Linked DNA regions of Stegostoma tigrinum. The protein of the gene in region 2 interacts with the protein of the main gene of each other region in a biochemical or structural test. Links are inferred from orthologs where the notes say so. Each region holds a gene or a part of one and is shown on either strand. Other genes may lie near its edges.

What was found.
Region 1: the proteins of E3 ubiquitin-protein ligase NEDD4-like (region 2) and heterogeneous nuclear ribonucleoprotein U-like protein 1 form a complex in vitro, tested with the Homo sapiens proteins (2 studies listed by BioGRID, with this or other methods). The link is inferred for Stegostoma tigrinum from reciprocal best matches to the Homo sapiens genes NEDD4 and HNRNPUL1.
Region 3: the proteins of E3 ubiquitin-protein ligase NEDD4-like (region 2) and protein TMEPAI-like form a complex in vitro, tested with the Homo sapiens proteins (2 studies listed by BioGRID, with this or other methods). The link is inferred for Stegostoma tigrinum from reciprocal best matches to the Homo sapiens genes NEDD4 and PMEPA1.
Region 4: the proteins of E3 ubiquitin-protein ligase NEDD4-like (region 2) and rnf7 form a complex in vitro, tested with the Homo sapiens proteins (2 studies listed by BioGRID, with this or other methods). The link is inferred for Stegostoma tigrinum from reciprocal best matches to the Homo sapiens genes NEDD4 and RNF7.

Annotation. Positions count from the first base shown.
Region 1 is NC_081392.1:7,469,699-7,477,670, forward strand, and holds the start of heterogeneous nuclear ribonucleoprotein U-like protein 1, read right to left. Parts: upstream 3,018-7,972; 5' UTR 2,795-3,017; coding exon 2,584-2,794; intron 1-2,583.
Region 2 is NC_081386.1:15,733,306-15,740,650, reverse strand, and holds the start of E3 ubiquitin-protein ligase NEDD4-like, read left to right. Parts: upstream 1-4,336; 5' UTR 4,337-4,429; coding exon 4,430-5,686; intron 5,687-7,345. UniProt on the Homo sapiens protein: E3 ubiquitin-protein ligase which accepts ubiquitin from an E2 ubiquitin-conjugating enzyme in the form of a thioester and then directly transfers the ubiquitin to targeted substrates. Specifically ubiquitinates 'Lys-63' in target proteins.
Region 3 is NC_081372.1:56,265,349-56,272,491, forward strand, and holds the start of protein TMEPAI-like, read right to left. Parts: upstream 3,013-7,143; 5' UTR 2,690-3,012; coding exon 2,587-2,689; intron 1-2,586. UniProt on the Homo sapiens protein: Functions as a negative regulator of TGF-beta signaling and thereby probably plays a role in cell proliferation, differentiation, apoptosis, motility, extracellular matrix production and immunosuppression.
Region 4 is NC_081367.1:74,096,281-74,103,277, forward strand, and holds the start of rnf7 (RING-box protein 2), read right to left. Parts: upstream 3,010-6,997; 5' UTR 2,965-3,009; coding exon 2,799-2,964; intron 1-2,798. UniProt on the Homo sapiens protein: Catalytic component of multiple cullin-5-RING E3 ubiquitin-protein ligase complexes (ECS complexes), which mediate the ubiquitination and subsequent proteasomal degradation of target proteins.

The DNA.
Region 1 (7,972 bases), on a different chromosome or scaffold from region 2:
GCACAAGGACATTGCTTGGCTGGCGGTGAGAGGGGCTCTGCCAGTGAAATCCTTTATGCATGTCCGGAATCTCTGCGCCACCGCACGCTGCCCTTGAGGTGGCTGCGGGGGGGAACGAGACTGTTGATCACCTCCTTCTGGAGAGTGCCTATGCGCAGGAGGTCTGGAGGGGGATGCATTGGTATTTGTCGAGGTTCGTCCCGAGCAGGTCCGTGACGTGGGACTCTGTACTCTACGGGCTGTTTCCCAGGACGCACACCGAGACCAACATCAACTGCGCCTGGAGGACCATCAATGCGGTGAAAGACACTCTTTGGTCTGCCCGCAACTTGCTGGTCTGCCAGCTGAAAGAACTGACCCCGAGCGAATGTTGCAGACTGGCGCACTCCAAGGTCCAGGACTACGTGCTGAGGGACGTGCTAAAGCTTGGGGCAGCCGCCGCCAAGGCGCGGTGGGGAAAGACCACAGTATGAAACCCCTCATCCAGAATAGAAAAAAGGGCCCTATCTGGTAACTGGACCCAGCTGGTGCCTTCCACAACTGGTCAGGGAGCCAACTGGGACTGTGCGGGGTGACGGCTGCCGGGGTATTTTCTTTGCTTTTTTTTTCTTTGTTTGTTTTTTTTCCTTTAGTTGGTGTACGTACCCCCTGGGTAACCCGGAGCGACTTGCATGACTGGGTAGGTGTATAAATGTTTTATTTTTTGTACATCTTATGAATAAAGTATATTTTTTCAAATAAAAAAAAGTAACGAAACGTCTGAAAACTAACCTTCCAGCACAGCGAGCAAACTCACATCCAGAACCTCAGAGATAATGGGAACTGCAGATGCTGGAGAATTCCAAGATAATAAAATGTGAGGCTGGATGAACACAGCAGGCCAAGCAGCATCTCAGGAGCACAAAAGCTGACGTTTCGGGCCTAGACCCTTCATCAGAGAGGGGGATGGGGAGAGGGAACTGGAATAAATAGGGAGAGAGGGGGAGGCGGACCGAAGATGGAGAGTAAAGAAGATAGGTGGGGAGGTAGGGAGGGGATAGGTCAGTCCAGGGAAGACGGACAGGTCAAAGAGGTGGGATGAGGTTAGTAGGTAGCTGGGGGTGCGGCTTGGGGTGGGAGGAAGGGATGGGTGAGAGGAAGAACCGGTTAGGGAGGCAGAGACAGGTTGGACTGGTTTTGGGATGCAGTGGGTGGGGGGGAAGAGCTGGGCTGGTTGTGTGGTGCAGTGGGGGGAGGGGACGAATTGAACCGGTGCGGCTTCCTCTACATTGGGGAAACCAAGCAGAGGCTTGGGGACCGCTTTGCAGAACACCTCCGCTCAGTTCGCAACAAACAACTGCACCTCCCAGTCGCAAACCATTTCCACTCCCCCTCCCATTCTCTTGATGACATGTCCATCATGGGCCTCCTGCACTGCCACAATGATGCCACCCGAAGGTTGCAGGAACAGCAACTCATATTCCGCCTGGGAACCCTGCAGCCATATAGTATCAATGTGGACTTCACCAGTTTCAAAATCTCCCCTTCCCCTACTGCATCCCTAAACCAGCCCAGTTCGTCCCCGCCCCCCACTGCACCACACAACCAGCCCAGCTCTTACCCTCCACCCACTGCATCCCAAAACCAGTCCAACCTGTCTCTGCCTCCCTAACCGGTTCTTCCTCTCACCCATCCCTTCCTCCCACCCCAAGCCGCACCCCCAGCTACCTACTAACCTCATCCCACCTCCTTGACCTGTCCGTCTTCCCTGGACTGACCTATCCCCTCCCTACCTCCCCACCTATACTCTCTCCACCTATCTTCTTTACTCTCCATCTTCGGTCCGCCTCCCCCTCTCTCCCTATTTATTCCAGTTCCCTCTCCCCATCCCCCTCTCTGATGAAGGGTCTAGGCCCGAAACGTCAGCTTTTGTGCTCCTGAGATGCTGCTTGGCCTGCTGTGTTCATCCAGCCTCACATTTTATTATCCAGAACCTCAACCTGAGCTACAAATGTTCTCAAAACTCGCTACAGAGATTCTAGTTATGGTTCATATCAAATTCTCTTTCAAGGCCAACTATGGAATCTGTTTCCAGCACATGTCAGGCTACTAGAAGGGGGGAAACAGCCGTTCTGCCGTGCTTCTTAAGACTCTGTAAATAAGCTCAGAATCAAATGCAGTCTACTAAAAGCTAAAATGGGGCATAAGTCTTTCCAGGAAATCAAACAACTAGATGATTCCTCTTGAAAACACAAAGACTTCCATCCAGAAATAACTGCAGATTCACTGGAGTCGAAACTCAGAACTGCTTTCTCTCCACAGACGCTGAATCTCTCCAGCAACTTCTGCTTCAGACCTTCAGCACCCGCAGTTCTTTGTTTTATTTTAACTGCAGATTCTATTGCATTATGGGTTGAGAGCCAACAGTCGAGTAATTTAAAAGGGGGAGGAAATAGATGAGATCAGCGACCGAATGCAACGAGAATATCTCACTCCAGTCGTCCCCTCCCTCCCCATTTCAAGGTGAGTCCGTGGGCGGGATCCGCGCCTGCGCACAGCCGGCTTACCTGCCGGAAGCTCCGCGCATGCACGCCTAGGCCTCACCTGCCCGCGCTCTCTCCGCCTCCTCCTGTCGCTGCCGTTCGGCAGTGGCGGCGGCTTTGGCTGCTTCTTGTTCTTCGTCAGCGGCACGGTCCAGAGCTGCCTGCAGCCGCTCCTGCAGATCCGCCTTGAGGCCCTTTGTGTCAAGGCCGCGTCTGTGCAGCTCCTCCTTGAGCTCGTTCACTTTTAGTTTCCGCACGTCCAGCGAACTCATTCCCGTTTATTTAAATTAAAACTATTTTCTCAATTTCTTTTAAAAATGCCCCACCACCAACCAAAAAAGCGGCTTAGTAATGTGGGAGGCCACGTGAAGGAAAAAATATAATAAGTGCACTGCTCCAACCGATTGGCAAAAGGTAAAAAAAAGGACACTTTGGATTCTATAAAGAAAATTCCTCTCTCTTGCCGCGGCGTCTGACGAAACAAAATGGCCGCCGTCTCCCTGCACCCACTTTGGTGGCGCCAGGCGCAGCCAAACCCACTTTTCTCTCCGCGCTCCTCATTGGTCATCAGCTGCTCACAATGCGCCTGCTGTTACCAAATCGCCAATCAGGAGCCGTCTCGCAGCCGGCCTGCCCCTTGCTTCCGCTGCTGCTTTGAGTCACCGCTTCTCATTGGCCTAGCTTCCCCGCAGCTTGAAAGGGGAGTCAAATTTGGAGGCCCTGGTGTGCGTATGGGCGGGTTGGCCAATAAAATTCGGCCTTAGAGGAGAGTAGGCTCTGTGCCCAAAGGCCCAATCAACATCCGGAGTCCAAGTTCCAACTTCTATCCGCTACTACCATAGGACAACAGCGTTCCCGATTATCTCGAAAGCTGAATGGGCTGTTCAAATGTCAATCAAAACCATTCGGCTACACCAAAGGAAAAGGATATTTTTCAATAGGGATGAAAGTGAAGTCCCAAGAGATGTAAAAAAACTCTTCACTTTTGTTAAAGAGGTACATCTAATAAAGGAACTTTTTAAAAAATCCATAACTAAAATTTTACAAGTAAATAATATTAAAATGGGGGATAATTGAACAGTAGTGATGTCACTAAACCAATAAACCACAGGTATTTACAATGACTCAAGGATCATGCCACTCCTGGATCCGGGGGAACTTGGATTCTATTAATTAATAAACCTGAAATAAAATGGTCAATTCACAATAATAATGGTGAAACTACCAGATTGTCCTAAAGCCTCATCTGATTCACTAATGCTCCTTAGAGTCATACAGCACAGTACTAGACCCTTCAGTGTATCTTGTCTATGCTAACCAAGTTCCCCAAATGAAACTAGTCCCATTTGCCTGCATTTGCGCCAACCCTTTCCTATTCATGTACCTGTCCAAATGTCTTTTAAATATTGTAGCTGCACCTGCATCTACCATTCCCTCTGCAGGTCATTCCTCATATGAACCATTGTGTGTGTGAAATATTTGCCCCTCAGGTCACTGACATATTTCCCCTTTCAAATAAGCCATCTAGGGAAAAGACCTTGCTATTCACCTTATCTATAACCCTCACGATTTTATAATCCTCGATAAGGTCACACCACAACCTCCTATACTCCAGTGAAAAGCATCCCAACCTATCCAGACTCCCTATAACTCAAACCTTCCAGTCCCTGTAACATCCTTGAAAATCTATTCTGCACTCTCTCCTACCTATTAATATCCTTCCTATAGCAGGGTGACCAGAACTGTGAACAGTACTCAAAGTGGCCTCTTCAACAATCTGCATTCAAAGCTCTGATCAACAAAGATAGTCTGGGAAGGCAATCTGCTGTCCTTGCTTAGCCTGGCCAACATGTGATTTTGGATGGCTCTCAAATACCCTCTGAAAAAATCTAGCAAGCAACCATCATTCAAAATTACCACCAAAAGCTGAATAACAACAGATCACCCAGCATTAGCCTTCACACTGGAAACAATAAGAAACAGCCTCCCAAGTGAATGCCTCTCATTATCTGGGAGAACTGTGCCACAGACTTGTCACAGATGAGCGATCAGAGTCCAGTCCTTCTGGGGCCGAATTCCTGTCTTCACACTGGGATATCCTCCATTGTATTGTATGCTACTGACACTTGAAAACTGGAATTAATTCAGGGCGGCTTTAGTAGCTCAAAAGTTGGTCATCTCAGAGACATTCTGAGCCATCAGCTGTAGCAGACTTTCATTCAACAATCTGTAACCGCATGGCCCATATATCCCTCACTCTACCATTGCCGTCAAGCCGCAAGACCAACTCTACTTTAAAAAGGATCATAGAAAAATAAAACAGAAGCACCAACAGTCAAAACAGGGTGCCAAGTTGGTGAAGCCACTACACAGGACTAACATGCAAACAGCAAGTACAGAACAATATAGGCAGAGCCAAGTCACGCCACAACCAATGGGCCAGATTGAAGCTCTGCAGCCATGCCACATTCAGACATGATGTTGGTGCTCAATTAAATAACTGGAGGAGGACGCTGTAAAAATGTCCTCGTTCTCAATATCAGTGGACCCCAGTATGTCAGTGTGAAAAAAACAAGGCTAGAATGTTTACAACTATCCCCAGGCAGAGTGCTGAGTGGATGATGCATCCCACCCTTTCCCTGAGTTATCCAGCATCGCACATAGTAAACTTCAATTTTTTTTCACTCAGTGATAAATGAGTAATATACAGCATACAATGATAATATTTCCAACAAAGGCCCTGTAGCTAGAATATTTGTGCTCTAGAACTATTTGCGTCTCTTGCCAAACTGTTCTAGCACAGCTCTGACACCTACCAAACAATGTGGAAAATTGTCTAGGTAGGTTGTGTCACAAAAAGCATAGAACATTACAGCACAGTACAGGCCCTACGGCTCTCGAAGTTGTGCCGACCTGTCATACCGATCTCAAGCCCATCTAACCTACACTATTCCATGTACGTCCATATGCTTATCCAATGACGACTTAAATGTACCTAAAGTTGGCGAATCTACTACCGTTGCAGGCAAAGCGTTCCATTCCCTTACTACTCTCTGAGTAAAGAAACTACCTCTGACATCTGTCCTATATCTTTCACCCCTCAATTTAAAGCTATGCCCCCTTGTGCTCGCCTAGGAAAAAGGCTCTCCCTATCCACCCTATCTAACCCTCTGAATATTTTATATGTTTCAATTAAGTCACCTCTCAACCTTCTTCTCTCTAATGAAAACAGCCTCAAGTCCATCAGCCTTTCCTCATAAGACCTTCCCTCCATACCAGGCAACATCCTAGTAAATCTCCTCTGCACCCTTTCCAAAGCTTCCACATCCTTCTTATAATGTGGTGACCAGAACTGTACACAATACTCCAAGTGCGGCCGCACCAGAGTTTTGTACAGCTTCACCATAACCTCTTGGTTCCGGAACTCGATCCCTCTATTAATAAAAGCTAAAACACTGTATGCCTTCTTAACAGCCCTGTCAACCTGGGTGGCAACTTTCAAGGATCTGTGTACATGGACACCGAGATCTCTCTGCTCATCTACACTACTAAGAATCTTACCATTAGCCCAGTACTTTGCCTTCCGGTTACTCCTACCAAAGTGCATCACCTCACACTTGTCTGCATTAAACTCCATTTGCCACCTCTCAGCCCAGCTCTGCAGCTTATCTATGTCTCTCTGCAACCTACAGCATCCTTCGTCACTATCCACAACTCCACCGACCCTGGTGTCGTCTGCAAATTTACTAACCCATCCTTCTATGTCCTCATCCAGGTCATTTATAAAAATGACGAACAGCAGTGGACCCAACACTGACCCTTGCGGTACACCACTAGTAACTGGTCTCCAGGATGAACATTTCCCATCAACCACCACCCTCTGTCTTCTTTCAGAAAGCCAATTTCCCATCCAAACTGCTATATCTCCTACAATTCCATTCCTCCGCATTTTGTACAATAGCCTATTGTGGGGAACCTTATCGAACGCCTTGCTGAAATCCATATACACCACATCAACCGGTTTACTCTCATCTACCTGTTTGGTCACCTTCTCAAAGAACTAAATCCGATCCATCCACTTTCTGCTATATCAGTCTACTCTCAGTCAGCAATCCTGTGACATCCAGCAGCACTTGATCAGGAACAATCCACTCACTTACACAATTTAGATTCTGCGCTAGCCACTCAGTTCCAGATCTCATTGCAACCTTGATTTAACTATCAAAAAAGAAATGAGGTGAACAATTGGAATAGGGGAAATTTATCCACTCATTGGAGTCATACCTAATACAAAGAAAAATTGGCTAGGGTTGCTGGAGGCAATGATCTCCATTCCAGGACATCACTGTTAGAGTTCCTCAGAATAATAAAGTTCCAGGCCAAACCAGCTTCACTTGTTTCAATGACCCCTACCTTCAATGTAAGGTCAGAAGTGGGTATGTTTGGTAATGATCGCATTTTTCATACCATTCACAATTCCTCAGATACCGAAGCACAAGGCAAGAGATCAACAACATTCAGTCTTAGGCTGATGTGTGACACAAATGACACTTGCCCACTTAAGTAGCCGGTAATCATCATATCATTCTCCAACAAAAATAGTATCAAACCTTCTCCCTCTAACATTGAATAGCATTGAGTACTGAATCCCTACTGTCAACATCCTAGATTTACCATCAGCCAGAAAACACATTTGAACCAGCCATGTAAACACTATGGCTACAAGAACAGGTCAGAGGCTGAATAATCTCTTTTACCCCCAACCCCTCCCCCGAAGCACAGGGTAGCTAGGCATCCAATTTTAAATTAGATTATCTGATCTGGCCATTGCTTGGTACCAGGTATAGAGTCATAGAGAGATACAGCATGGAAACTGACCCCTTGGTCCAAGTTGTCCTTGTGAACCAGAGATCTTACAATAATCCAGTCCCATTTGCTAGCATTTGGCACATATCCCTCTAAACCCTTCCTATTGATGTGCCATCCAGATGCCTTTTAAATGTTGTAACTGTGCCAGCCTCCACCACTTCATCTGGCAACTCATTCCATACATGCACCACGCTCTGCATGAAAAAGTTGCCCCTTAGATTCCTTTTAAAACTTTCCCCTCTCACCTTAAGCCTAGTTCTGGACTCCCATACCCCAGGGAAAAGACCTTGGCTACTCACCCTATCCAGACCGTTCATGATTTTATAAACCGCTATAAGGTCATCCCTTAGTCTCCAACACTCCAGGGAAAATAGCCTCAGCCTATTCAGCCTCTCCCTATCATTCAAACACTTCAATTCTCGCAACATCCTTGTAAATATTTTCTGAACTCTTTGAAGTTTCACAACAACCTTCCTGTAGCAGGGAAACCAGAATCAAATGTAGCATTCCAAAAGTGGCCTAACCAATGTCCTGTACAACCACAAGACCTCCCAACTCCTATACTCAATGCACTGACCAAT
Region 2 (7,345 bases):
AGGTTGAAGGTGATGCACGGTTTCTTTAGTAGTGTTGGAGTTGCACTGATCCAAGCAAGTGGAGAGTATTTCATCTCACATGTGCTGGTGGATTGTGGACAGGTGCTGGGGTTGGAGGCTGTCTGTTACTCACTATTAACTATCCTCTAACTTTCTCTTATAGTCACAGTATTTACGTGGCCCCTGACCTGCTTTAGTAGCCACACTCTCTATATGACTATTCCAGTTCAGTTCCTGGTTATTGGTAATCAACAGGAGGTTGATTGTGGGGTATTCAGTAATGATAAACCATTGAATGTTAGGGGGCAATGATTAGATTTTCTCTTGATAGCGATGATTATTGACTGATGCTTCTGTGGCATAAATATCAGTTGCCATGTATTAGTCAAAGCCTGGATGTTGCTGCATATGGATCCAGAATGTTTCAGTAACAAAAATAGAGATGGCTGGAAAAGCTCAGCAAGTCTGGCAGCATCTGTGGAGAGAAATCAGAGTTAAATGTTTCGAGCCAAATGACCCATCCTCAGAACTAAGGTGATTTAAAGCATCTGTAGTCCTTTCAATTTTTATTCAAAATATTTCAGTATCTGAAGAATCATAAACCACTACCTCTAATCTTATGACGGAGAGTCATTGATGAGGAAGCTGAAGATGTTTAGGCCTAGGACACTACCTTACAGAACTCCTGCAGTGATATACTTGAGCCGAGGTGATTGACCTCCAACAACCACAACCATTTTCCTTTTGTGCTAGGTATGACTCTACGAGTGAAGTGTATTTTCCCAATTCCCAATGACTTCAGGTTTATGAGCGTTCTTTGGTGTCACACTTGGCCAAATGCTACCTTGACATCTAGGATAGTCATGTGACTTCATCTCTGGGGTTTAGCTGCTTTGAGGGCATTGAAGAATGAACCTCGTTGTTGTGGGTCTGGAACCACATGTAGGCCAGACTGGGTGAAACAGCTGATTACCTTTCCTAAAGGACATTGGTGAACCAGATGGCTTTTTACAACAACCAAGAATGGTTACATGGTTTCCATTAGATTAATTCTTAATTCAATATGTTGTTAAATTCAGATTTCTTCTTCCAAGGTGGGATTTGAACCTATAAGCCTGGGCACGGATTACAACCTGAGTGCATTACTATCATGCCTCTCAGTCATTTTACTCCAAGCTTGAGTCATGGCACTTGGCCTAAAGAAAATGCATGCCATTGCAGTGTATGGCTTAGTACAGTGTATTTTTTTTAAGTAAGCAATGAAAATTCATTAAATATGTTTTCTGAGTGTGGTGTCCATTGGCTGTTCATTTCCTGAGATAACAAGGATGCTGTCGTCCTATACCAGGCCTGTGACACATTGCTAAGTAGGGTGCAGAATTTGGCTGGAGACTTACCCTTGAGTCTTCCTTGACATCCTGTGAGGATGTGTCCTGCATCCACTTGGTTTCCTCACAGTGGGAAACACTGCAGGCAGTCCACAAATTGACATTGCCATGCATTGCTCAGCTTGACAACAGAGCTGATTCTCCAATGTGCTGCGATGACGTTTTTTGTAAGTTTTAACTTTCCTCCTGTGCAGTCATAGACTAATGCAATAAAGAAGGAGGCCATTTGACCTATCACTTCTATGCCAGTCCTTATGAGGAGCAATCCAGTTCATTCCACTTCCAAACTTTTCCCCTGAAACCCTGTAATCACTTCTCTTCAAAAAATGTATGCAATTTCTTTTTGCGAACCGCTATTGGATTTGTCTCCACCATCCTGTCACATTTTTGGAGTGCCGTAAGCTGCAGATCCCAATACCTGTGCTCACATCAGCACTCCTCAAGCAGCCACACTTTTTCAGGGCATTTCATTAACATTGCTAGTCCCTCTCCCGACTCACCCAGAGCTCTGGAATAACTGCTCGCCATTTGCTTCTTTTTCCCGTCAGCCCACCTTGTACTGTGTTCAGTTAGACAATAAGCACTTTCTCTTGGAGACTGGATTCTGTGGTCTGTCTAGCTACGACCCCGTACGTATATTGTTGGAAGGACAAGTCTCATAAAATTGTTTTTGAGTTGAGTCAATTCACAGAAACTCCAGTCCATAAGCATGTTCTGTGCGTACAATTCTTTTACCGTTGACGTTTGTCCATTTCTAGAATTTCTATTGATATTATATTACTGTTGTTCAGGTGTGTGCTTTCAAAATGATGGTATTTAACAGGGTTTAAGTTTTTGTTCCCCATATGAGAAGCTTGGTATTTTTTTTCAAAGCAGACATTCTAGCATGTGAAGAGGCATAGGTTGTTATTAGTAATACAGAATGCAGAATGAAGAGTGATACAGTGGAATGGCTGTGAATATTCCAGTTCAGTGCAATGTTGAAAAAGCTGAGCTGGTCTGTAGCAAAAATTCCTATGCATCTGGCTGTCTGGAACTTTATTTAGCGGAAAAAAAGTCTTGGACTTGAAAAGCATGATACAGATTTTTTTTTCTACAAAGAGAGCATTGTTCTATCCAGATGCATTTTTTTATAGAAATGTTCTTGCTATTAAAAAAAAAGGAGTTTGACCAAGCAGTTATTCTGTACAAAGAAACTACCTATGCCCCTAGTGCAAGCTGTTTAGTTAAGTTAGCTATTTTGTTTGTTTTTTGACTAAGTGCAAATTGAAATGCTCAAAGGGCCATTTTTACTTTTAATTGCAGTTCAGAATAACTTTCTCACTTCTGTGCAGTGGTAGAAAATTTTTGTAAAAGGCATCTGTTAAAATGCCAACAGAAAATGGGGCAGTTGTTACAGCTTTTGATTATAAGCAGTACATTTTTCCATTGTGCAGCCACTTTTATCCCTAAGGGCATTAAGATGGCCATCATACAGTTATTAAACACTTGCTGTTTGATTTGTAGAAAAATGTTGCACATTTTATTTCATCAGTCCTGCTGAATGAGCCACTATTCCTGCATAGCAACTTGCAAACTGTTGAGTGGTGAGTTAATAAAGTATTATGTTCAGGTTTTACCTGGAATGTGTGAAGTGGCTAGTCATGTTGTGTCATGGCTCCACACATTAAAATGTCAAACAACTTTGTCTTACAAGGCTTGGAACTTAAAATCTTTTGTGACTTCACTCAAAGGAAATTTTCTCTCTCTTGTAAAGTGTATGCAGTGTCATAGTCCTAGATATTGGTGCAAAACTCCCACATCGAGGAACAATTTCTGATGTGTTAAGATTGTACCTTTTTTACATGGTTACAAGACGAAGGAGAAAGTATTTGAAAAATGCTTTCTTGTAAAAATTAATTATATTCAGTGCTTTTGAATCTGTACATCTGATCGGAAAGCCACAGGAAGAAAAGAATGTAACTCCTTTGGCACGGTCATGAGTTTCAAATGTCAGAATGTGGCATTTCTGTGTATGAAGAGAGAGGTTTTTCCTACTTAGCCACACTGAACAGTCTTAACAAGCGCTAGCAGCCCGGTACCAGCAGGATTTCAGTCCAGTGGGAGTCTAATAATAGTTCTGTTTTTGTTTCTTTTTAAACAAGGATTTGCTTCTTTTAAATCGTTGCCTCTTTTAGATGGTTGGATTTCAATGTGTTCAGCTAAAGCCGAACTGAGAGCGTGAGTTCAGAACTACTATCTGCAAAAAAAAAGCCAATCTTTATCACATTGAGGAACTGATGAAGGCAAATTGTATTCAATTGTAAATGCAAAACTGCGGAGTGCTCTTGCAGTTATTAGCAGTAGCTTCCTGTCTATTTCCCATATCCTGGAGGTTTAACATTGTGGGTAATACTCAGAAAACCTTTTGATTCTGAATTATGCTGGATGTTGCTCTTTAAAATTTCCTGTAATGCAATACTATGAGGTAAAAATACGGTGTTGGTTCAGTGTAGGAGAAACATTTGAAGCTCCAGTGCCTAAAGCAGTGCCACATATTTAGCTTGCTTGCTGGGGACGAGATGTAATATATGAAACCGAAATGCAAGAAGATGTTGATTTTGGGTTGGATTCAGTCACTCATGGAAGTAAAGGAGATTTAATTGAAGCAAGGTTGGCCAGAATTCAAACAGTGTGCAGCAGCTGAGCTTCTTGTAAAGGTTGCTGAGTTTTCAGTGCTGTGGAAGAGAGTCTGCCTTCATTTCTCACCGTTAAGAGACATTCATGGCTATTCAGAATTGCGGGAGGTATTCCTGCAATTATGATTTTTGCTGCTGGACATTTCTAACTTCCCAGGCTTAATAGCCATAGTGCAGTAATGACTGGAATGCTGCTTGTCACTTCAGCTATTTCTGCTTATCTACAGCTCCTGATGGTGACCGTATCGCAAGTGGCAGTGCTTGCTATGATTGCTTTAAGTGTTCTCTGCAGAATGTGAGTTTTTAACTAGCTCAGATTCATTCCAACCTAGGACCACATTTGTTGTATTTCAAAAGGGAAGAATGGCCCGTCGTTTGCGACTGCATTTTGCAACCAGGAGGAGCAACACTGACCCACTGTCTGAAACTTCGGGAGAAGGCTTGGAGAGTAACATTTGTATGACAGTTGAGACTGTACCAGTACATGTGAGAAAGAATGTTCACCAAGTGACTGCACTTGAACCTGTGGCAGCGCAGACAGTAGCACAGGATGAACGTATCCTACAGCGCAGTTCTTCATTGTTTATACCACAGGTCAGCAACAGTGATCATCACCGCAAAAAGAGCTCTACCTTGCAAATATCACTGCAGTCCAAACAATCCAGAGGACAGTGTGAATCTAGTACTCGTTGCAATGGCAGAGAGGGTGGTTTGTGCAATGCCGGTATTTCTTTTGACCAAGAGCTTTTAGAACGTGCGATGGAGTCCACCAAAGCATCAGTGAAGTTGAGAAAACCGAAGGTTCCATTGAGGCGTTGTTCATCATTGGTGATATTTCCTCAGAGTCCGTGTAGTACTCCGCCAGCTACACCAACAAGCCCAGATCCATTTACAAGTGCAAGTAGCAATCCCACATTAAACAGATTTCTTCCTTGCCCTCATGAACCAAAGCAAGATGAAGATCAGGCTGTGTCTAAATCCAAAGAAGCAAGCACATGTTTTGTTGCAACAGCAGTTAATGGGCTGCGTTTGTCTAACCCAGTTTGTCCTTCTTCGGAAGTTAGAGACATTAAGTCGCTTCATTGTAACGGACAGCAACCTGGCAAAAATCGAGCAATAGATTACGGCGAGGAAGAAGCAGAGTATTGGGGAAAAGTGAAGAAACCGCACAGACCTTCAAATCACGTTCTGCATTTCAACTACCAAAGAGCTCATGTATTTGGAACAGAGCCCAAGGAAGGACAAATTCACCCTGAATCATTTGTGAAGGAGTTTAAGCAGAGCTCTTTAAATACTGGACATGCGCATCATCCTATTAAGTTAATAAGGAGCACCTCTGTATGTTTACCTTCGTTCAAACATTCAGACTGCCAACTTAATATTAATGGTGTGGTAGAAAGGGAAATTATAAATGAACAAAACAAGCGTCCGATCTTTCAAAGGAGCCATTCACTTGAAGTTCCCTGTCAGCTGGTTTCCAGTTATCATTCAAAACCTAAACATTGTTGTTCAAGGGTTGGGATCCCTCATTTACAAATCCACGTAGCTCCTAGATCAGAGCAAAAGACGTTCAGTTCTGAGGAGGAAATGACTGGAGCTGTTTGGGGACGAAAGTGCAAGGTAAGCTAATTCTCCCCTGCCTCAAAGGCTTCAAATTAAAAATCAGCTTATCTATTTTACTCCCACTTTTAGTACAAATTGTGGGCAGTGTCTGTAGAATTTAGTGATAGTTTTGTTAAACAGGGTGATTGCTGTGCTAGAAAATGTAGGAAGTCCTAAAATTAAATTTTCTAGCATTTTTAATTGTTTCAAAATTTGCCAGTGATGATTGCAGACAGCTGTGCCCTAGTGTTGATTTACACTTGAGTTTCTAATTACAGACAATTTTAATGATTTACTGATCTATTTAGTGATACTGCTCAGATCTGTAGCTATGGACTGAGTCTAAAGAATATGTGAAACGTGTTGTATATTCTATAGATATTCTCAATATGAAATTTGTTTTCTGGCCAAAGAGCACCATTTATAGGCGGTTGTTAATGCTGAGGAAATTTTCTTGTCTTTTTTAACTTCTGTGTTCAATGTTTTTACTGGTTTCCTGTAGTGAAAGTGATTCAGTTTAGGTAGACATCTCTACAAAAGTAAGTGTTCTAGGCAAGCACTTGCATGCAAAACAATTTTGCTCACTTGATCTGTACAATCTGTCAGAGGTTGTTATTGACATAATTCATAAAATTTGAAATCAAGTATCACATGTTTTACTGCTAATAAATTACATTTTTGGATGAGAAGTTATTTATCCAGTAAAACACGTGAATTTAAAATGTTCAGATTTTGCCACTTGCAGATTAATTTACTTGAAAGCAGATTGGCTAAATCTTTGTAACATTAATAATATACTTCAGCTAAGAACATCACCTATCAATCTTTTTGATTTGGGCCATAATTGCACTTGAAACTGCAAAAAATGCTTAATGTCACATTGTAAATTTCCCTTGGTTTTTAAGTTAGAAAGGGGTATCCTTTCCTAGTTAGCTTTGGGCATCCAAATTTGTTTCCTGTGGTTTAAAATAGCTGTAAGATTAACAAATGATTTCCCTTTGTGTGCCTCAGGTGTCTGCTCCTAACCTCGTGAAGCTCAATTTTATTTAAAATGTGTTACTTACGTTACTCAAAATTGTTAGAATTGAAGTAGAAGTAAAAGTCAGTTACACATGGTTGTGTTTTGTGTAAAAGCGAGTCTGTATTTCCAGATGGTAACTGTATTAGCTAGTTAAATGTGTTTAGATTTATTTTAATTCTCCACTTTAATTTCCACATTGATGCAATGAGTGCGCATGTGTTGACTGCAGTTGGAAAGGAATTATTCGGATTGTTGAAATACACAGACAGCTAAGTTATCCATTTGTTTTATAAACTGAATCAAAGCTTGGTTGCCTAAACATAGCAGAGTGTAAACCTGATTTAAATATATTGCGCCAAGAATATTTCATCAGACTCCAGATAGTCTGGCCTGGAATACTGTTATGGAAGGTCTGAGTTCAAATATAACAACCTGATATTAGAGTAGTGGTGGTCACTGCAGCCATCTGTACACAGCAGACATGAAATTGGATCAGACCATGGTTGAGTTCTGTTGTGCTTGCAGACGTGAAAGGTCCACATGTTCCTCTTTCACTTGGGCACTGGACTTCAGCAACAAGGTGTCAGATATCCCACTATCTATAATTAACAGCTTGTTAAAGGGAACTTTTCTAAATCCATGCAGAAAGATTTGAC
Region 3 (7,143 bases), on a different chromosome or scaffold from region 2:
TGCAAAAAAGAATAAACGTAATACGAAAAAAAAGCAATATCCTGTCTCAAAAGGCAAGATACCCGAAATCTGAGAAGAATGCTCAATCCTAACGGAATGGTTTAATAAGAGGGATGTGATTTGTTACACGTATGCACCTGGACAATTGATCATAAATTGACCAGACTTGGTGGGGGGGGGGGGGGGGGGGGGGGCGAGAAAAATCACCAGAATCTGAAATGGTTTTCAGGATTCACACTGTCATTGTTAGTCAGAACATTGATTAGAATATCAGCAACTGAAGGTGTCTTTAGCCACAGAAAGATGTGGAAGCAAATGTAATACCTCCACGCTAAAGTTAAATTACAGATTCCAACGGACAGATCCTGGAAGAGAGTTGAAGGAGTCACGCGTACCCTGTTTGCAACACAGGTGCCAAATTTAATAAAACAGACAAAACCTGTTAGACTGACACAGCAGGCAAGTGTAGTCCTGCACCCAAGTATTAACACCCCTTCATAAAATCAGCAAATGGGGCTGGCTGAAGGGCACACATCAGTTCAGTCACTACAATCTGCACTTTGCATTTTTCTAATCCTTGTGCGTAAAGATGTATGGTCATAGTTCATAACTAATGGATGACAAATGGAAAAGGAATACAATCCACACATATAGGGCCACATGGCAAACTAGGTAACATGTTTAAAAACGATCAAGAATAATTTTAATGGCTTATGTTGGTCCATGTCAAAAACAGTATCTGAAAGGCACATTTTAAAATAGGGAGAAAAATGCACAATATCTTAATCCGCAATTCTCAGAGGAACATCTGAAGTCTGACAGTTGGATTCCAATTTGAAAAATCTTGGCAGATGGAAAAAAATGATGTGCATGAGTCAGGATCCATTCATTGTGATAGTGACTGTTTAACAGAACTGGGTAAGGCTAACCCTGCAGCAACGCTACTTGGAGCGAAGTCCTCAAGCTAGTCTCTGCTGCGCCCCAACACCCAGCAACCTTGTACTGTGCCCCTTACATCACACAAAACGAGAACTGCAATTGTTTAAAACCACTGCAGCTAATCCACACAGAGCAACAGGGTATGTACAGTATTAGCTGTAATAAGCAGGCTGACTGAGACCTTAAAAAAATTTAGGACCCACATATGCAGGGTTAGGTGCATCATTCCCAAGCAACAGAACGCCATAACATCAGACGGAGGTGAAGAATGTACAGAGTCACTAAGCTACACTCCAACCCAAAATCAGCACAACAACGATTGTTTTAAAAGTTAAGAGTCGACAGAAGTCTGAAGTGAACCTCTGATCTTAGGCAACTATTGTTCAGTAACTAATATGTTGATGCTGAGGAAAAAACATTAAAAAGCATCCAAAAAAGGATTGACACACCGAAAGTCTCAAGTTGAGTGACCTTAATTATCCCAACATTGAAACAGTTTCTATGGAGGGCAACACTACCCATTCTAACCAAGATAAAATCCACCAGAGGACAACTCAATTTTATCCAAAGTTATTATTAAAATACCACAAAGTATGTTTTACAGGGCTCAGCAGCCCCAGTCGTCGTTCAGTGGGGTTAGATTTTAGACGAAGGGCTCTTTTCACCAGACGTTAAATTGTGCCTAAAAGACACAGAGGAAGATGGGCTGAGTTGTTCTGTTTAAGTTAGACCCCTTGGCACTTCATTGAATTCCAAGAAATTGTACAGCTTGTTGACAGAACGTTTGAAAAACACTAAATGAAGGGTTATCTGATGATACAGTAGGTCTGACTCTAATCAAGTGCAGAAAACACTGAAAGACCAAACATTCACACAGCTCAAAAGACGGAGAGCGAAAGAAATGAAACGGGCGGGGAAGCGAAAAAAAGGGTTTGGGCGAGACTCACGAAACTGAGCGACAATCTTGACAATGAGTCAGTCCAGGGCTAACTGACTAAAACGATTCTACACGAAACAAAACTCCAATAATTTTTAGAAAAAGAAAAGAAACCGAAAGAGGCTCAAAGCTTTCTAGAGGAGACAGGGCGTTCTTTTTTGTGGGGAGTAGGAAAGGAGACGCCTTTTTCTGAAAAAGTCAGGGTCTTGGCTGCTTTTCCTCCCCCGAACTTGGCCAAGAGACGGGGGTGGCGACGACGGGGGGGGGGGGGGGTGGTGCTGTTGAAGCACAGAGTAAGATTCCCAAAGTCGTCCCCATCGAAAACAAAAAAGAAAAAAAAACTGAGGGAAACAAGAGAGACGCACGAATAAAAGTCAAACAACTAGAGGCAGAAAAGACAACTTAATTTTTTTGAAGGGAAAAAAAATGAACACGCACGCACAGCACAAACTCTGACAGGAACGAAAACTCCAGGCAGTCTGAGGGCTCGAGAGACGCCGTCTTAATTAACAACACAGCCAGGCAGACAACTCACACTACCACCCCCCCCCCCCCTCATCAACTCCATCTCTTAAAGGGGGGGGGGGGGAAACAGTGAGACAATCTCTTCCTTAGTACAAAAGCCAGCATTTACTGGCTTTAGTTTTAAATGACCAACGAAAATAGAAGGGAACAGCATTTTTAATAAAAAGACTGTTTTGACTACTTACTGATCTCCATACTGTGGAACAAAGAGCGTTTGCAGTTGCATGTGCAGGAGACATTGGGCTGATTCGTTGCGGCTGTGCTGTTCAGACCCATCAAGTTGTACATTTAATATTTGAAAAGGGAAGGGGAAATAAATTAAAAAAAATTGGAAGCGGGGTTAAATAAAGGCAGCCAGGCGCCCCCCGGGGTTGGGAGAGGAGCCTTCGCTGACTTGAGTGTTGCTGGCTGGTACCTGGGTGAGGGCAGGGAGCTGGGTATCTGTCTCTCAGTTGTGAGAAACCATAATCAGGGGAGTGTTAGCCCGGCCGGTCCCCGTGGTTCTGTCTCTCTCTGCGCTCTGCCAGCTCCGGAATCACCAAGTGCTACTTTGTATCTGCTTCACACTCGATACACTCACACAATCAAGTAGCGCAGCCCGACACGCCGCAACCAAACCTCCGCCACTGTCAATCACCCAGCCCCGGACCCGCCCCCCCAACGGGCCGCCTGATGGACCACCTGCCCCGCCAATCGCCTCTCGGAATTCCCAAATCCCCATTCCCCCCCGGAACCTCTCGGCCAATGGAGCTGGTGGAAGCGCAGTCTGGGGCGGGACTTCTGGCACGCGGGTGCACCTCCATGACGTCACCGAGGCAGACAGGAGGCCCGCTTCTCCCTCGCCGGTCCGCCTTCCGCGATTGACAGGTGGAGACCAGCCAATTGGCATATCATTTCTCTGCTATTGGATGCACCCTGGAGAACCAATAGTGAGTCCATTTGTAGGCGGGGCTACTGGCGATGACGTCATGGCAGGGCGAGTTGTGGGCTGTAAGTGGCCGGCAAACTATTATCGACGTAGAAAGTGTCCAATAGAAACACAGTGTGGGTTAACACACATTTCCATTGGATAGTAGCGGAACAGAGGGCTGGCACAGCCGGAAACGCACACGTGGGTTAGGCAAAGCTCTGTTTGTTTGAAGTGAGAGCAGGAAGTGGGAGGAGGAAGAGAAAAAAAGACCTTGAAAAGTTTACCCAAAGTCTGTCAAATATATTTCATGCTCAAAAAATGTGGGTTACAAATACTGCGCGGCATTTTATACCCCCTTTTGACTAATCAATCAAGGAAAGGAAGCAGTGATAAAACAAGCTGGAAATAAATCAGTGCAAAGGGAGATACTGTGGATGTGGGATACCTGAAATAGTTTAATAACACAAAATGCTGGAAATACTCAGCAGATCCGACAGCCTCTGTGCAGGGATTTTGCTCTGGTCATTCGACAACCATGTTCTGACGACGCTCCACTTAATCTTCCCAGCGTTTTCTGTTTTGTGTTTCACATAAAAATTGATCGGGCTCAATATAATCTTGAAAATGCGGTCATTTTCCTAAGAATTGGCAAAGCCTGAAGTGTTTGCCGATGCTCAAAGAAGCAAACAGGCGTCGCAACGATTGCCACCTTTGTGCCTTGGTGAAATGAGCCATTTGTTTTTAATGAAAGGGAGAAAGCACTTAACTTTCTAAAGTTGTCGAGAGGGAGAGAGATTTTCTAACAGCTTAAACTGGTCAATAGAGGGGCTAACGTTGCTGAGAATTCAATACGGATTTGCAAGTCTGGGGGAGGGGAGGAGAGGGGAACCAAAGCAAAAGGGAAACAGGATGCAGTAACCTTGATTACATTTTTTTCCCCTTGCCCTTGGTAGACACACATCCCTCATTCCTCGCAAGGAATCCAAACAAAAAGAGAGACAGCGGTTGGGGGAGGGGGTGTCTGTGTATTCAGACAGACTTTACAAGGCAATCTGCTCTTGTAAAGCCTAACCTCACTTTGACCCGAAGTGATATAACCCTCTCCATCCCCGGCCCCGTCAGAAATCGCCCACTTCTTTCAGCCTCGTCCCATCAAATACGATGTTTTGGAGATGGAATTTGCGAATGTTATCGCGGCAAGTATAAAGATTAATTAATGCAAGTGGCGAAAAGAGAATGCAAATAGCAAAGCACGTTGCGAAGTTTCCAGCCTGCAGCAACCACCACCCCCCCCACCGCCGCCAACAACTCCCCGCAGACATCCAAGAGTCTCATTATCCTCAAGCTGCATGCAAATCCCATTATATAAACGCGATTTATCGGGCGTCAGATCCCCTCACAGCTCCCAAAGAACGTGTGGTGCGAGCGATCTGGAATTGCTGCTGGATGCGTTTAAAATCTTATCCTCCCCTCTCTTTGTCGGTGATTTTCCCCAGGCGGGGAGGCTGTAGGAGCGGGGGGGGGGGGGGGGGGTGGAGTGCAGCGCTTTGCCCTGTTCTTTGTGCCTGGCTGGTCACGGTTTGTCCGCCAACCAGCTGAAGGAAGCCTGTGGCTTTTCTCAGCGATTGTTGTCTGTATTTGCACTTGGACTTAATACCGTGTGTGTGTCTGCTACTGGAAGTGGATTAGAAAACAACACACACACAAAGGCAGACGCCAACCCTCCCTTTCCAAGAGCCCACTTCCCCTAAAAATGAACCGAAACGCGGGGTCGGCTCAGCCCGTTCATTTGGCACCTGATCTGTCCCAGACAGACAGACACATTCGCCGTTTTTGTTGCAGGTGTCCGTGTACTTTTAAGATTCGCCGCCACCATTGCCTCTTTAAAAGCCCAGACTGGAGGCTCCCCTGAAAATACACTGTTAGACAAGTAATCTTTCTCAATGGATGTGCAATGGCTGTGGGGTAGAACTTTCTTCTCTTTACACAATGAGTGGTAATGACCTGGAACCCTCGCCCAGGAGGGTGGCGGAGGCCGAGAAAATGATCGATTTCGGAGGAAATTGAATGGGGCAACTTGAAGGAAGTAAAGTTGTAGGGCTACACGGATAGAACGGAGAGGTGAGACTGAGAGAGCTAGCAGGGACTCGATGGGCTGAATGGTTGTCTTCTGTGCCGCAATGATTGTATATAACGCCGGGAAACCATTCATTTTTACCATCACCTTTATGACCTTTAGTAAAACCTGAATTCACTGACACGGCCGAATGATTGTATATAACTTTTTTGAAAGCCGGGACAGTCGTATTAGTTTACTTTCTTGTTCTTGGAATCAATATATTGAGGTTGTAGTGAATAGTAGAAATGTGTAGCCTCACCTGCCACTCAGTCGTTTTTCCAATGATTTTATGACTCCCCCTTATTGAAACACTCATCTGAAGGAATCTTGTCATCATTTTGAGCACGTCTATTGATTCACCTCTATACCTCAGTCTTCCACGGAGTCCCAAATTCGTTAAGCTCTCCCATCATCATGTTCCTCATCCCTTCATCTTTCAACTTGCTGGTCCTTTTGAAACCATTCCATTATAGAAGAGTCTCTTTCTAAATTGGTCCTCTCAAAGTCCATCGTTTCATACTTCTGCACATTGAACAGCATCTGCTGTATCTTGGTACACTGCTTGGAATCATAGAATAGATACCGCACAGGCCATTCAGCTCAGTGAGCTCTTGACAGCTCTCCGCAAGAGCAACATAGCACTTTTTTAAAAATTCACTCCTGGGATGTGGGTTTTGCCGGCTGGGCCAGCATTTAATGGCCCCTCCAATTTACCCTTGAGAATGTGTTAGTGAGCTGCCTTCTTGAACTGCTGCTGTCCATGTATTGTTCAGAGCCTCACAATGCCCTGAGGAGGGAAATGCAGGGTTTTGCCCTCGCCACACTGAGGGAATGGAGATACATTTTCAAGTCAGGATGGTCAGTGGCTTCAGGTGATGGTCTTCCCATGCATCTGCTACCCTTGCCGTTCAACTTGGAAATGGCTTTGGGTTTGGAAAGTGCTGTCTAAGGATCTTTGGCAAATTTCTGCAGTACATCTTGTAGACAGTACACACTGCTGTTACTGAGCATCAGTGGTGGAGAGAGTGGTTGTTTGTGGCTATGGTCCAATCCATTGGACTGCTTTGTCTTGGATGGTGTCAAGCTTCTTGAGTATTGTTGGGGCTGCACCCATCCAGGCATGTGGGGAATATTCCATCCCACTCCTAACTTCTGCTTTGTAGGTGATGGACATGCTTTAGGGAGTCAGGAGATGAGCTAGTCCCACTTTTCCTGGTTTCATTTTTGATGCTTGTCCGATTTTCCTTTGAAAGCTGTGACTGACAAGCCTCCTCTGCACTTTCAGAAAGTATATTCCAAATTCTAATCACTTGTTGTCTGAAAGGTCACCTTTCATTCTTGTGCCATTCGCCTTATATCAGTTGCCCTCCTCGAGTGCGAGTAGTTTCTCTCTAATGTGTCTGGACCTCCATTGATTTTGAGCGCCTCTATCAAATGTCCTTTCAATCTTCTTTTCTCTCAGATATACAACCTAAAATTCTATTAATCCATCTATGTAACTGAAAACCTTCGTCTCCGGAACCATTCTTGTGAATCTTTTCTGAACCCTCCATAAATCGTTATGTCTTTCCTGAAGTCTGGTGTCCAGTACTCCAGGCAGATATAATACTAGAGTTGATCCAGTGTTTTATAAATGCACATCATATCTTTTCTTCTTTTGTACCACCATCTTAATGCTTTTAAATACCCTTGTTTCTGCTTGTGCCTTAGCCA
Region 4 (6,997 bases), on a different chromosome or scaffold from region 2:
TGGCCAGGGCGGGCGCGGGGAGGGGGGGGAATGGCTGGCCGGGGGGGCGGGGAGGGGAGGGGAGGGGAGGGGAGGGGAGGGGAGGGGAGGGGGGGGGGCGGGGACGGGAGGGGAGGGGAGGGGAGGGGGGGGGAGGGGAGGGGAGGGGAGGGGGGGGGCGGGGAGGGGAGGGGCGGGGAGGGGGGGGGGCCGGGGGGGCCGGGAGGGGGGGGGGGGGGTGGCTGGCCGGGGGGGGGGAATGGCTGGCCGGGGGGGGCGGGGAGGGGGGGGGGAATGGCTGGCCGGGGGGGGGGAATGGCTGGCCGGGGGGGCGGGGAGGGGGGGGGAATGGCTGGCCGGGGGGAATGGCTGGCCGGGGGGGCGGGGGGAATGGCTGGCCGGGGGGGCGGGGGGAATGGCTGGCCGGGGGGGCGGGGAGGGGGGGGGGGGAATGGCTGGCCGGGGGGGCGGGGGGAATGGCTGGCCGGGGGGGCGGGGGGGGGGGGGGGAATGGCTGGCCGGGGGGGCGGGGAGGGGGGGGGGGAATGGCTGGCCGGGGGGGCGGGGAGGGGGGGGGGGATGGCTGGCCGGGGGGGCGGGGAGGGGGGGGGGGGGAGATGGCTGGCCGGGGGGGCGGGGAGGGGGGGGGGGTGGCTGGCCGGGGGGTGGGGGGGGAATGGCTGGCCGGGGGGGGGGGGGGGGGGGGGGCGGGGCAGGGGGAATGGCTGGCCGGGGGGGGGCAGGGGGGGGAATGGCTGGCCGGGGGGGAATGGCTGGCCGGGGGGGGCGGGGAGAATGGCTGGCCGGGGGGGGGGGGCGGGGAGAATGGCTGGCCGGGGGGGGGGGGAGAATGGCTGGCCGGGGGGGCGGGGAGGGAGAATGGCTGGCCGGGGGGGCGGGGAATGGCTGGCCGGGGGGGCGGGGAGGAATGGCTGGCCGGGGGGGCGTGGAGGGGGGGAGGAATGGCTGGCCGGGGGGGGCGTGGAGGGGGGGGGGGAATGGCTGCCGGGGGGGCGAAAGGGGAAGAGTATGGCGAGGAGGGTGGGTGGAGGGGGGCACGGCGAGGGTGCCGGGTGAAGGGGGGCACGGCGAGGGGGGCGGGTGAAGGGGGGCGGGTGAAGGGGGGGCGGGTGAAGGGGGGCACGGCGAGGGGGGGGCGGGTGAAGGGGGGGGGTGAAGGGGGGCGGGTGAAGGGGGGCGGGCGAGGGAGGGGGGCGGGCGAGGGGGGGGGGCGGGCGAAGGGGGGGGCGGGCGAAGGGGGGGGGCGGGCGAAGGGGGGGGGCGGGCGAAGGGGGGGGGCGGGCGAAGGGGGGGGGCGGGCGAAGGGGGGGGCGGGCGAAGGGGGGGGCGGGTGAAGGGGGGGGCGGGTGAAGGGGGGCACGGCGAGGGGGGCGGGTGAAGGGGGGCACGGCGACGGGGGCGGGTGAAGGGGGCGGGTGGAAGGGGGCACGGCGAGGGGAGGTGAAGGGGGCACGGCGAGGGGGGGGTGAAGGGGGGGCACGGCGAGGGGGGGGTGAAGGGGGGGCACGGCGAGGGGTGGGTGAAGGGGGGGCACGGCGAGGGGTGGGTGAAGGGGGGCACGGCGTGGGGTGGGTGAAGGGGGGCACGGCGTGGGGTGGGTGAAGGGGGGCATGGCGTGGGGTGGGTGAAGGGGGGCACGGCGTGGGGTGGGTGAAGGGGGCACGGCGTGGGGTGGGTGAAGGGGGCACGGCGAGGGGTGGGTGAAGGGGGCACGGCGAGGGGTGGGTGAAGGGGGCACGGCGAGGGGTGGGTGAAGGGGGCACGGCGAGGGGTGGGTGAAGGGGGCACGGCGAGGGGGGGTGAAGGGGGGCACGGCGAGGGGGGGTGAAGGGGGGCACGGCGAGGGGGGGTGAAGGGGGGGTGCGAAGGGAGCACGGCGAGGGGGTTGTATTGGGGGTGGGGGGGGTGAGGGTGGGTGTAGGGGGGGTGAGGGTGGGTGTAGGGGGGGTGAGGGTGGGTGTAGGGGTGGGTGTAGGGGGGGGTGAGGGTGGGTGTAGGGGGGGTGGGGGGGGTTAGGGGGGGTGTAGGAGGGCGAGGGGGGGTTGAGGGGGGGCGAGGGGGGGTTGAGGGGGGGCACGGCGAGGGGCCGGTGAAGTGGGGCGAGGGGCGGGTGAAGTGGGGCGAGGGGCGGGCGAAGGGGGGCGAGGGGCGGGCGAGGGGGGGCTGAGGGGGGGCACGGCGAGGGGCCGGTGAAGTGGGGCGAGGGGCGGGTGAAGTGGGGCGAGGGGCGGGCGAAGGGGGGCGAGGGGCGGGCGAGGGGGGGCGAGGGGCGGGCGAGGGGCGGGCTCGGGGGGGCCTCGGGGGGGCCTCGGGGGGGCGTGGGGGGGGGCTCGGGGGGGCGTGGGGGGGGGCTCGGGGGGGCGTGGGCTCGGGGGGGCGTGGGGGGGGGGCTCGGGGGGGGGCTCGGGGGGGCGTGGGGGGGGGGTCGGGGGGGGGGGGGTCGGGGGGGGGGGCTCGGGGTGGGGGGGGCTCGGGGTGGGGGGGGCTCGGGGGGGGCGTGGGGCGTGGGGGGGGCGTGGGGCGTGGGGGGGGGGGGCGTGGGGCGTGGGGGGGGGGGGCGTGGGGCGTGGGGGGGGGCGTGGGGCGTGGGGGGGGGGCGTGGGGCGTGGGGGGGTGGGGCGTGGGGGGGGGGCTCGGTCCCTGTCCCCATCACACTGTCCTCCTGGGACTGAGAGGCCGGTGGGCACAGCCAGGCAAACCAGTGCCTCCCACCCCCGCCATTCCCAGACAGTCAGACCGCCTCGGGCAGTACCCGAGGCCCCTGTCCTGGTCCCCGGGGCCTGGGCCTTGCCGCTTACCCATCACCTGGACCCTGCAGATGGCGCAGGTATCACACTCCACATCCCAGCTCCACATCGCCACCGCGTTCCACTTCTTCAGGGTGAACATCTTGTCCCCGGATCGACCTCCTCCCGCTGCCACATTGGGAACCAAGGAGGAATCTTCCAGCTCTTCGTCCGCCATCACTGACGCCGCAACCCCTCCTCCCGGCCGCTAGGGGCGCCGCAATTCCGCTTCCTGGCCGCTCGGGCTCCGCAACTCCTCCTCCCGGCCGCTAGGAGCGCCGCAAGTCCTCCTCCCGGCCGCTAGGGGCGCCGCAATTCCGCTTCCTGGCCGCTCGGGCTCCGCAACTCCTCCTCCCGGCCGCTAGGGGCGCCACAACCCCTCCTCCAGTCCTCTGGGGGAGTTTGGTGGAACGGCTCCTCAGTAAGTACTACAGAGTCACCTAGCGGCGGGAGAGTGAAATAGACACAATTCTCTGCCAATGTGGTATACTGCATCCACTGTACCCAGTGTGGCTTCCTCTACATTGGGGAAACAAAGCGGAGGCTTGGGGACTACTTTGCAGTAGTCCCAACTCCGCTCAGTTCGCAACAAACAACTGCACCTCCCAGTCGCAAACCATTTCCACTCCCCCTCCCATTCTCTAGATGACATGTCCATCATGGGCCTCCTGCACTGCCACAATGATGCCACCCGAAGGTTGCAGGAACAGCAACTCATATTCCGCTTGGGAACCCTGCAGCCCAATGGTATCAATGTGGACTTCACCAGCTTCAAAATCTCCCCTTCCCCTACTGCATCCCAAAACTAGCCCAGTTTGTCCCCTCCCCCCACTGCACCACACAACCAGCCCAGCTCTTCCCCTCCACCCACTGCATCCCAAAACCAGTCCAACCTGTCTCCGCCTCCCTAACCTGTTCTTCCTCTCACCCCAAGCCGCACCCCCATCTACCTACTAACCTCATCCCACCTCCTTGACCTGTCTGTCTTCCCTGGACTGACCTATCCCCTCCCTACGTCCCCACCTATGCTCTCCTCTCCACCTATCTTCTTCTCTCTCCATCTTCGGTCCGCCTCCCCCTCTCTCCCTATTTATTCCAGAACCCTCACCCCATCCCCCTCTCTGATGAAGAGTCTAGGCGCGAAATGTCAGCTTTTGTACTCCTGCTGTGTTCATCCAGCCTCACATTTTATTATCCACAATTCCTCCCGAATTGGGAAGATTCAGGGGTAATGGGAACTGCAGATGCTGGAGAATCCAAGATAATAAAATGTGAAGCTGGATGAACACAGCAGACCAAGCAGCATCACAGGAGCACAAAAGCTGACATTTCGGGCCTAGATCCTTCATCAGAGAGGGGGATGGGGTGAGGGTTCTGAAATAAATAGGGAGAGAGGGGGAGGCGGACCGAAGATGGAGAGAAAAGAAGATAGGTGGAGAGGAGAGTATAGGTGGGGAGGTAGGGAGGGGATAGGTCAGTCCAGGGAAGACGGACAGGTCAAGGAGGTGGGATGAGGTTAGTAGGTAGGAGATGGAGGTGCGGCTTGAGGTGGGAGGAAGGGATGGGTGAGAGGAAGAACAGGTTAGGGAGGCGGAGACAGGTTGGACTGGTTTTGGGATGCAGTGGGTGGAGGGGAAGAGCTGGGCTGGTTGTGTGGTGCAGTGGGGGGAGGGGACGAACTGGGCTGGTTTTGGGATGCGGTGAGGGAAGGGGAGACCCTGAAGCTGGTGAAGTCCACATTGATACCATATGGCTGCAGGGTCCCCAAGCGGAATATGAGTTGCTGTTCCTGCAACCTTCGGGTGGCGTCATTGTGGCACTGCAGAAGGCCTATGATGGACAAGTCGTTTAAGGAATGGGAGGGTGAGTTAAAATGGTTCACGACTGCGAGGTGCAGTTGTTTATTGCGAACCGAGTGGAGGTGTTCTGCAAAGTGGTCCCCAAGCCTCCGCTTGGTTTCCCTGATGTAGAGGAAGCCACACTGGGTACAGTGGATACAGTATACCACATTGGCAGATGTGCAGGTTAACATCTGCTTGATATGGAAGGTCTTCTTGGGGCCTGGGATAGGGGTGAGGGAGGAGGTGTGGGGACAAGTGTAGCATTTCCTGCAGTTGCAGGGGAAAGTGCCGGGAATGGTGGGGCTGGAGGGGAGTGTGGAGGGGACAAGTTTACTGTCACTGAACAGTAAAGAAGAAGGTGGAAATGGTGATGCAGTCCATGTTCTAATACAAGATCTGGACAATTTTCAGGTTTCAGCTACATGCCAAAGAAGTTAATCCGAGTGTTCCCTGACAGGAAACCATGGATGAACTAGGAGATCCACTCCCTCCTGAAGCCCAGGTCTGAGCTGTTCAAGTTGAGTGACTCTGAGCTATACAGGAAATCTACAATCTTCATCACAAAGCCATCAGGGACGCAAAGAGACAATACTACATTAGACTGGGGCACGGGGTCTCAGTGCTTAGCACTGCTGCCTCGCAGTGCCAGGGATGCGGGTTTGATTCCACCCTTGGGCGACTGTCTGTGTGGAGTTTACTCATTCTCCCCGTGTCTGCATGGGTTTCCTCCGGGTGCTCCAGTTTCCTCCCACAGTCCAAACATGTGCAGGCTAGGTGGATTCGTCATGCTAAATTGAGCACAGTGTTCCAAGGATGTTTAGACGTGTTCAGTTATAGGGGATATTTGATTATATCAGATGCTCTGATAGTCAGTGTGGACATGTTGGGCTGAAGGGCCTGTTTTCACACTGTAGGGAATCTATGATGACACTGTGATCATTCCCAGACTGATCACACGTTATACTGGGCTACAAAGCAAATTCAAATAGGATCACTGACAACAATGCACTCATCTCCAGTGCGCTCAGTGAACTGTATGCTGGTTTTGAATGGAAAGTCGGTGAAATAATGTTGAAAGCCTTGGATTCACCTGTACGCGCAGTTACTGCTGCAGATGTCAGATTGGCCTTCTTGAGGGTGAACCCATGCAAAGCGACTGGCCTGAATGGTTTTGGCACAGACCAGCTGGTGGGATTATTTGCTGATATATTTAACCTCTCCTCACTACAATCTGAAGTCTTCACCTGCTTCACAAACACCATATCATCCCAGTGCCAAAGAAGGGTCAGGCAATGTACCTCAATGCCTACTGCCCCGAGGTTCTGACATTTCATCATTATGAAGTGCTACAAAGAGGTTAGGTATGGCTCACACCAGTTCCCGCCTTCCAGATTGACTCGACCCACTAAAAGTCACTGAGTGGCACGACAGGTCCACAAGAGACGCTATGTCCCCAACCTTACACTCATCCCTGGAACACCTGGATAACAAGGACACCTATGTCAGACTCCTGTTTACTGACTTTAGGTACGCCTTCAGCTCCATAAGTCCAGTGATGCTCATCTCCAAACTCAAGTCCTAGGTCTTGGCTCCCCACTCTGCAACTGGGTCCTCAGCTTCCTGACCGATAGACTGCAGTCAGTATGGATAAGTGAGAACATCTCCTCTACCACAATCCTCAATACGGGTGCCCTACAAAGCTGTGTACACAGCCCTTTACTACTTATACACTCATGACAGTGTGGCTAAATTCAGCTCTAACTCCATTTACAGATTTGCTGATAACACCACCGTAGTGGCTCGGCTCTCAAACAGCGACGAGGCAGAGTACAGGAAAGAGAATGAGAGTTTAGCCGTATGGTATAAAGACAGCAATCTCCCATCAACATCAGCAAAATGCAGGAGCTGGCCGTCTTCAGGAAGTGAAGAAGAGGACCCGCCCCCGTCTGTGTCTGTGGAATTGAGGTAGAGATGGTTGAAGGCATCAAGTTCCTGGGAGTGACCATCACCAACAATTTGTCCTGGTCTACCCACATTGATGTTGCAGCCAGGAAATCACAGCACTGCCACTACTCCCTCAGGAGGCTAAGGAAATTCAGCATGTCCACAATAACTCTTACCAATTTTTATAGATGCACCCTGGAAAACATCCTCTGTCCATAACCACAGAAATTACAGAGAGTTATGGATTTGATTCAGTCCATCACGAAAATCAGCCTTCCTTCTATTGACTCTGAAGACAGCCAACATCATCAAAGATCCCTCCCACTCTGGGTATACTCTCCCACTCTCTTCTATCAGGCAGAAGATACAAAAGCTTGAAAACACTTACCAACAGATTCAGGAACAGCTTCTTCCCTGCTGTTATCA